2 linked regions of the Lonchura striata genome follow. The protein of the gene in region 1 binds, or shares a complex with, the protein of each later gene. Links are inferred from orthologs where the notes say so. Each region holds a gene or a part of one and is shown in the gene's direction. Other genes may lie near its edges.

What was found.
Region 2: the proteins of SPAG9 (region 1) and ARF6 are in contact, whole or in part, in a crystal structure (PDB 2W83), measured with the Homo sapiens proteins. The link is inferred for Lonchura striata from reciprocal best matches to the Homo sapiens genes SPAG9 and ARF6. Residues at the interface, in NP_001124000.1 of Homo sapiens: Lys431, Asn432, Ile435, Val438, Asp439, Thr442, Cys443, Asp446, Val447, Gln449; in NP_001654.1 of Homo sapiens: Glu13, Arg15, Lys34, Phe47, Val49, Glu50, Thr51, Thr53, Lys58, Asn60, Trp62, His76, Tyr77, Thr79.

What each region holds. Positions count from the first base shown.
Region 1 is NC_134621.1:6,224,688-6,228,594, reverse strand, and holds the start of SPAG9 (C-Jun-amino-terminal kinase-interacting protein 4), read left to right. Parts: upstream 1-899; 5' UTR 900-974; coding exon 975-1,280; intron 1,281-3,907. UniProt on the Homo sapiens protein: The JNK-interacting protein (JIP) group of scaffold proteins selectively mediates JNK signaling by aggregating specific components of the MAPK cascade to form a functional JNK signaling module.
Region 2 is NC_134608.1:1,969,690-1,973,596, forward strand, and holds the start of ARF6 (ADP-ribosylation factor 6), read left to right. Parts: upstream 1-1,387; 5' UTR 1,388-1,469; coding exon 1,470-1,997; 3' UTR 1,998-3,907. UniProt on the Homo sapiens protein: GTP-binding protein involved in protein trafficking that regulates endocytic recycling and cytoskeleton remodeling. GTP-bound form plays an important role in the transport of multiple palmitoylated proteins form the Golgi to the plasma membrane.

The sequences.
Region 1 (3,907 bases):
GGAATCACCACAGTGGTTAAGAGGCATACCCAGCACTGTGCAATGTGGTTTACTGGTTTAGGAGTTACAGTGGCAGTGCCAGGTGCATGGTCAGACTGGGTGACAGAACAGAATGAACTAGGTGGGACAAGACCTTTGAGACCATCCAGTCCAACCTGACCCAACACCACCTTGTCAGCCAGATTGTCAGCCAGTCTTTTCTTCAACACCTCCCTGTGGGACCCATTCTAATGCACAATCACTCATTCTGTGAAGAATTTCTTCCTAATGTCCAACCTGAACTGGCCTGGCACAGCTTAGGGCTGTGTCCTCGCTCCCTGGTTCAGAGCAGAGCCCGGCCTCAGCTGCTGCACCCTCCTGACAGGAGGAGCTGCAGAGAGGGATAAGATGTGCCCTGAGCCTTTTTCTCTCGGCTGAGCTGCCCACAGCTCCCTCAGCCGCTCCTCGCGGGAAGCGGGCTCCAAACCCTTCCCTAGCCTTGTTGCCCTTTTAAAGGTCTCTTCCAATCCCGACGATTCGGTGATTTGCCGGGATTGGGTGATTTGCCGGGATTGGGTGATTTGCCGGGATTGGGTGACCCCTAACGCGCCTCCCACAGCGCAGCCCTTCCCGCCGCCCGCATCTTCCCCACACGCAGCCGCGGCCCCGCCCCCTCACGCGGGCCCGCCCCCTCACGCGGGCCCGCCCCCTCACGCGGGCCCGCCCCCTCACGCGGGCCCGCCCCCTCACGCGGGCCCGCCCCCTCACGCGGGCCCGCCCCCTCACGCGGGCCCGCCCCGTGACATCACCTGTCGTCCCGTGACGTCACCGCGCCCGCCCCGCCCGCCCCGCCCCGCCCGCCGTCCCGGCAGCCCCGCCCGGCGCGGCGGGTGAGGTCAGAGGCGCGCGCCGCTCCCGCCCGGCCCTGCCGAGGCTCCGCCGCCGGGCGCCGCTCCGAGCCGGGCCCCGCCAGGCCCCGCACAACCCCCGCCGCCATGGAGCTGGCGGACGGCGTGGTGTACCAGGAGGATCCCGGCGGGCCCGGCCCCGCCATGATGTCGGAGCGGGTGTCGGGGCTGGCGGGCTCCATCTACCGCGAGTTCGAGCGGCTCATCGGGCGCTACGACGAGGAGGTGGTGGCCGAGCTGATGCCGCTGGTGGTGGCCGTGTTGGAGAACCTGGACTCGGTGTGCGCGCACAGCCAGGAGACCAGCGTGGAGCTGGAGCTGCTGCGGGACGATAACGAGCAGCTGCTCACGCAGTACGAGCGGGAGAAGGCGCTGCGCAAACAGGCCGAGGAGGTGAGCGCGGCGCCGGGCCGGGCGGCACCTCCCGGGCCTGCCCGGGGCGCAGCGGGCGGCCAGCCCCGGGCTGCTGGAGCTGGGCTCCAGACGCGGCTCGCAGAAGGATGAGGAGGGAGGAATCCCTCCCGCTCCGTGCGGCTCCGTGTGCTTGCCATCCCCTGAGCCGCTCGTCCCGGAGGGATCCCCGGGAGCCGCTGCGCTGCCGCCGGGGCCGCGGAGCGAGCGCGGAACCGGGCGCTGGTTGCGCTGTCACGGCCGCGGAGGGAGGCGGGTTGTCCATTTCTGCGGAAATAGTGACACCACGTCGCAAAAACCATGGGAATACGCAGTGTCTAGGCTGAAGCTCTCGGAGCTGCTGCTTAAAGCTGCAGGCAGCAACAGGTGGTGTGGACTCTCCGGTGACGTCGACTCTGATTTTGGATGTTAGATGTTTTTATTTCAGTGTCGGTACCAAGAATCACTTCAGCATAAGCAAGCTTGTGAGGCATTATCTAATGTGATATTATAAAGCAATAGAATGGGAAGCAGCTGTGCAGGATAACTTCCTCCTGCTCATTGTCTTGCCAAACTCCTGAAGGAAATTGGATTGGCAGCATTATCTGTTTAACATTAACAAGCCATCTTACAAGTGTATTTCCAGACCCCTTGTCCTGTGCTAATCTCTCTGGTTGTGTTTGCCTTCTAAATTTTCCAAAAATCAGAAGAACAACCGCACTGAGGGTGAACACAATATTAACGGTGAAAGCTTAATTTAAAAAACATTAGCCCTGTTTAAATACTTGTTTGTTTCTAAGTGAGTGCAAAATGTTGTCTGCAGATTATTCCAGGACTCCATTTGTTGTGAAGGACTGTGGTCCAGCTCCTGGACTGATAGGTCATTCATCCTCCTTGTCAAACACATGGTGGTTTTATGATGCCATATAGACTCCAGTTAGGGGACTGGAGTTGCCACACTATTTCTAGCACAATGTAAAAGGGTCTTTTAGAAAATATGTTTGCATTGAGAGTAATAGGAAGGGATTGATAAATACTTTCTGAACTAATTAATGAGAAAATCCATCAGGCTTGAAGCGCAGGCAGCATTTCTAAGATCAGAAACAGATCTTGGGCAGCAGGACAGAAGCCGTACCTATGTGAGGATACAGATCATAGGGTTAAGTTTGTTGTTGTAGCTTTTCAGGAACTGTATGTGCCTGTATTTGTTTTGTGCTTCAGTGCCATCTTCATTTCTCTGTGTCATGATAAATTAACTTGAGAGAACAGGCTATGTGCAGTTGAAGAACCAGCATTCATACTGCAAGACACCTGGCTGATGCTTTCCAAAGTGCAGTTAGACCAAAGACTGTATTTTCATGGTAAGCACAAAGGTCATTTTTGTGATGTGCTGAGGTCATTGCACTGTACAGGTGTGGAAGTGTTTGGTACAGCCTGATGTATTCAGGAGAGGCATATGTGTTAGGCATGGTTGTTGAATTATTTTTTTGATGCTGAGATAACCTGATGTGATTTCAATGTGATTGAAATAAAAGGAGGGAACAGAAATTTAACAATATTTCATTGGACAAAAAGTTATTGGCTTAGCACATTTCTTTTGTTTGGGGTTTGCCTGTGTCATGTGGTGGCAAAATTGAGAATTTTGAGCTCCATGTTTAATGTCACCTGTTCATAGAATCACACAATGAATGATTTGGGTTGGAAGGGATCTTAAAGTTTGTGTCACGGGCAGGGACACTGTTGCAACACCAGGCTGCTCCAAGCCCTGTCCAGCCTACCCTTAAGCACATCCAGGGATGAAGCAACCACAGCTTCTCTGGGCAATTAACACACCTTCTTCTACTTTCTGCTTGTTGTTGTAGGAAATTTACTTGTGGCAGTACCTTAATGCACATTAAATAGTTTACTATTTGGGTAGGTGTCTCCTTACCCCATTTTTGTAATTTGCTTTCTTTATTTCCTGTGCTTAAAAAGTGTTACTAAAAATATCTTAAAAGTTGATGCCTGTGGATTTCTGGAATAATTTTTTTTACCATCACCTTGACAGAAGTTCTGGGCCTACTTCTCAACCCTCTGGGTACAGTTTTGATCTTTGTAGTTGCTGCAAAATTACTTGTCTGCCTTTTAATTTGGTAGGTTTTTTGATATCGCTGAAGGAATGGAGGAACCAGCTGCTCTGCTGTTCTCCACTTGGTGACTCTGAGGTAGTCTGTGAGGCCTGCCCCAAAGAAGTGGAAGAGGAACCAGCATTTGTGCTTTTGCTATTGTATACCCTGATAAGAGTTACTTCTGCAGCAATGTGCTGTTTCAGACCTGCACTTGTAGCTGGCATGTGTTTTGTGTGCACTTGGGAAGAGGATAAAAATCTACTCCATTTAGCTATGCCAAATTGGGATATCTTTTAGCTTTTCTGCTGTTGGTGGGATTAAGCTGTTTTTGAAATCTTTGGCAACTGTGAAAAAGGATTTACCACTACTAAAACTGGTTTAAGTCGTAGCATAAACTTGAGGTCTGCTTTTTCTGCTGTTCCCAGAGGTAACTTTCTTTAGAATCTTATGTTGAGTAAACACTGTGCAGTAAGAGTTTAAGTATTTTTAATTTGAGAGAACAGAACCGAGATGCATTTTACA
Region 2 (3,907 bases), on another chromosome or scaffold:
GCCAGGACATCAGCCGGAGAAATCAGCTCCCAGCTCGGTGTTTTGGAGGGGAAGGGGAAGATGGGTGAAGTCAATCCTACACGATCCCAAGGGAATGCAGACTGTGCCCTCCAGCAGGAGACCCCAGGGCGACCAAGTGCATCCCGGTGGGATGCCAGTGTCCCGTCCGGGGTGGAAGGAGATGGGCTGTAAGGTCCCTTCCAACCCACACCAGCCCGTGATTCCACGATTTCGTGGGATTTGTGTTCCAGGCGCTGCTTCCCCCATCCACCCCCCGAGCTCGGGAGCATCCCCCAGCGCAGGCCGGCTCTCACAGGAGCGGTGGGAGCCGGGCCGTGCCCGTGTCCCTGGCCCCGCTCCCGTGTCCCGGTGTCCCGGCACGGCCCCGGGCGCGCCGTGTGCGTGCAGAGCTGCGGCTCCCCGCGCTGGGCGTGCCGGGCACGGCTCGGGACCAGGGCGGGGCCGTGCCCCGAGCGCTGCCCGCTGCCCCGGGCGCTGAGCCGGGGAGTTCCGCCCACCGGGATCGCTGGCGGTGACCCAGGACAGCGCGGAGTCATAAACCCGATGACGCGGCACTGAATCACCGCAGGCTCGGGCTGGAACGGACCTCCCAGCCCGGCCCGGCCCGGCCCGGGGCAGGGCACGGGCACCTCCCGCTGTCCCGGGCTGCTCCCGGCCCAGTGCCCAGCCCGCCTCGGGCACTGCCAGGGACAAGGGGCAGCCGCAGCCTCTCGGGGCAGCGGTGCCGGGGCTTCCCGCCCTCGCTGCACGCAGCGCCGGTGCGGGGCAGGCTGCACGGCCCGCTCGGTACCGGGCTCGGTACGGGGCTCGGTACCGGTGCCGCTCCGTCCCGCCGGGTGCTGCCCCTTTAAGGCGCGCCCCGCGCGCGCCCCGCGCTGACGCGCGATCGCGTGGCGCCTCTCCCCACCGCGGCCCCGCCCCCTCCGCGCGCCGCCGCGCCCCGCCCAATCAGCGGCGAGGCCACGCCCCCCCTCCCGCGGAGCCCCCCCCTCGGGGGCGGGGCGGCGGCGGCGGCGCAGGCGCGCGGGGCGGGCGGGAAGGCGCGGGCGGAAGGAGGGGCGCGGGCGTGGCGGGGCCCGCGCGGGCGCATGCGCGGGGCGGCGGCGGGGCGGAAGCGGGCGCGGGCGCGCGCGGCCCCTTTCCGGCGGCGCGGGCGGAGGCGGCGGCGCGCGGGGCCCTCAGGTACGGCCGGGCGCTCCCGGGACGCTCCCGGGGCCATCGCGGCCGCTCCCGGCGCTGCCCGGCCCGCGGGATCCTCCCGCCGGTACCCATGAGCTGAGGCGCCGCGGCGGGAGCCGAGGCAGCAGCGGGCGGAGCCGCCGCCGCGGGCCCGGCGGAGCAGCGGAGCCGCCTCCCCGCCGCCCCATGCGCGGCCCGCGCTGAGCCCCGCCCGCCCTTCCCCGCCGGGCCGGCGCTCGCCCTCTCGCCCTCCCTTGGATGCCGCCGAGATGGGCAAGGTGCTGTCCAAGATCTTCGGGAACAAGGAGATGCGGATCCTGATGCTGGGGCTGGACGCGGCCGGCAAGACCACGATCCTGTACAAGCTGAAGCTGGGCCAGTCGGTGACCACCATCCCCACCGTGGGCTTCAACGTGGAGACCGTCACCTACAAGAACGTCAAGTTCAACGTGTGGGACGTGGGCGGCCAGGACAAGATCCGGCCCCTGTGGCGGCACTACTACACGGGCACGCAGGGGCTCATCTTCGTGGTGGACTGCGCCGACCGCGACCGCATCGACGAGGCGCGGCAGGAGCTGCACCGCATCATCAACGACCGGGAGATGCGGGACGCCATCATCCTCATCTTCGCCAACAAGCAGGACCTGCCCGACGCCATGAAACCCCACGAGATCCAGGAGAAACTGGGCCTGACCCGGATCAGGGATAGGAATTGGTATGTGCAGCCCTCCTGTGCCACGACGGGGGATGGACTCTACGAAGGGCTGACGTGGTTAACGTCCAATTATAAATCCTAATGGGAGAGGAACTATTTAGTCTACAAAGAATTAAAGAAACAAAACAAAAAAAAATTTAAACAAACAAACAAAAAAAGAAACAAAAAAAAAAATTAAATAACCCACGTGGCTTTCCAGAAGAATGATTCTCTACTGAAAGTAAAACAAAACCGCATCCATAGGATTATGATCACCTTTCTCCAGTTGCCACCCTTTCCTCCTGCACCCTTGGCTGGATTCCTGTTCTAACTCCTCCTGCTTGGCGTTAGGATGCTCTAACCTCCGAATGTGACACGAACACAGGCACTAGATGCTATGGCAGACTTCCAGCAAACAGGGGAAGGACACATTATAGACTTGCTAAGTAACTTTTTTTTTTGTTGGTTTTTTTTTTCCTTTTTCCTCTTGTTAGCCCTTTGCTGGTTTGATTATTTTGGGGGATGTTGGGGGAGGGGGTCCATTTTCAGTGTATGCTTCCTGGGTCTACTTTTTTGATTATATATATATTTTTTTTCTCTCTCTTCTCTCACTTTGCTGTAGATTGCTACTTTTTTGCATTCTTGCAGGATATGTTGCTAGGTCGACTTCATCTAGTAAACTGAAAATTGTTGCTTAAAATCAAACTGCAGTCTGTCTTTTTATATTAAGGACTTTTTTTTTTTTTAAAAAAAAAAAAAAGTTCTGTTAATCTGTAACTAAACAGTGACTCAGTCTGGCCCCACGGCTCAGGCTAACGAGGGGAATTCTTGCCTGCAGTGGCAGAGAGTGGGAATTCCACTGTAACGTGTTCAAAGTGCGTGTCGGGCGCTGGGAAATGTAAGATCTGCTTTGGAATGTCAGCTGGGAAGTTCTGACCCATACATCATGAATGAGGAGGGATGCAAAACCAGCTCCCCACACCACCTAGCAAAGCAGGCATGAGCGATGCTGTAGTTCCAGGGCAGGCACTGGGCAGGTTTTTTTGTCCTAAATGAGGTTTAGTTGCAGTTTTTTACTCCTTGGTGTCGGTCCTCGGGCCGAGGCCCTTTCCAGCAGATGCAGCAATAAAATGTTGCAATGAGTTTGAGTTTAAATCAGATGTTTTGGCAAAAGTCCAGCTCTGACTTGCCTCTCGCTTCCATCTCAAGGCAGCTGGAGACACCAAAACCTTGAAGGGATTCCTGTTTCTTTCCAACAGGCAGGAGGAAATTGTTATTTATTGTTATTATTGTTCTTTTTCCATGCTGGAGCCTTGCGAGGGCGGCGAGTTCCGAGCCGAGCTCTGCTCGCGCCCGGCGTTTCTGACATCAGGAATGGCCATTTTGAGGAAATCACTGCTTGCTTTGGTTTTCCAAGCCTGGACTGAGCTCCTGCGAGTGGCTGGAGCCTCCTCCCTGTGGCCCGGGGCTGCTGGAGTCCTGTAGGAAAGGGAACTATGTTGGATGTCTGAGGCCCATTGAGGAACTGCTAATGAGAGCGGGGAGGGGAGAGAGAGAGAGAATCGACGCTGAATGTAAACTTCCATAATTAGTTCTTAAAGGGCAAAGCAGCTCGTTAGCCATGTCACAGCCTGTAGCTGGGACTGGCCAATCAAAAACCCCACCCGGAGCGAGTATTTGCATAAAAACTCAATCAAGTATTAATTAACGCTGGGTGCACAAACTGTTAAAGCAGCTGGTTCTTATTCAGCCTTAAGGATTAACTTCAGATTTCCTCAAGGAGTTAAAACTCCGTTGGGGAATTCTAGGAATGTATGCTACAAAACCAGAAGAAAATGGCTTTTATTTTTCCTTTTTTTTTTTTTCCTTAATTGTTTTCTCTTTTCAAGAATATAAGTTTTACATGGAACTGGGGGCATTACACTACATTGCTGCCGTGGTGACTCTGCATGCTGAGTACATTGTACACATGGAGCTCTTACCAAAGATGTATGGGAAGATAAAAATCCTGAA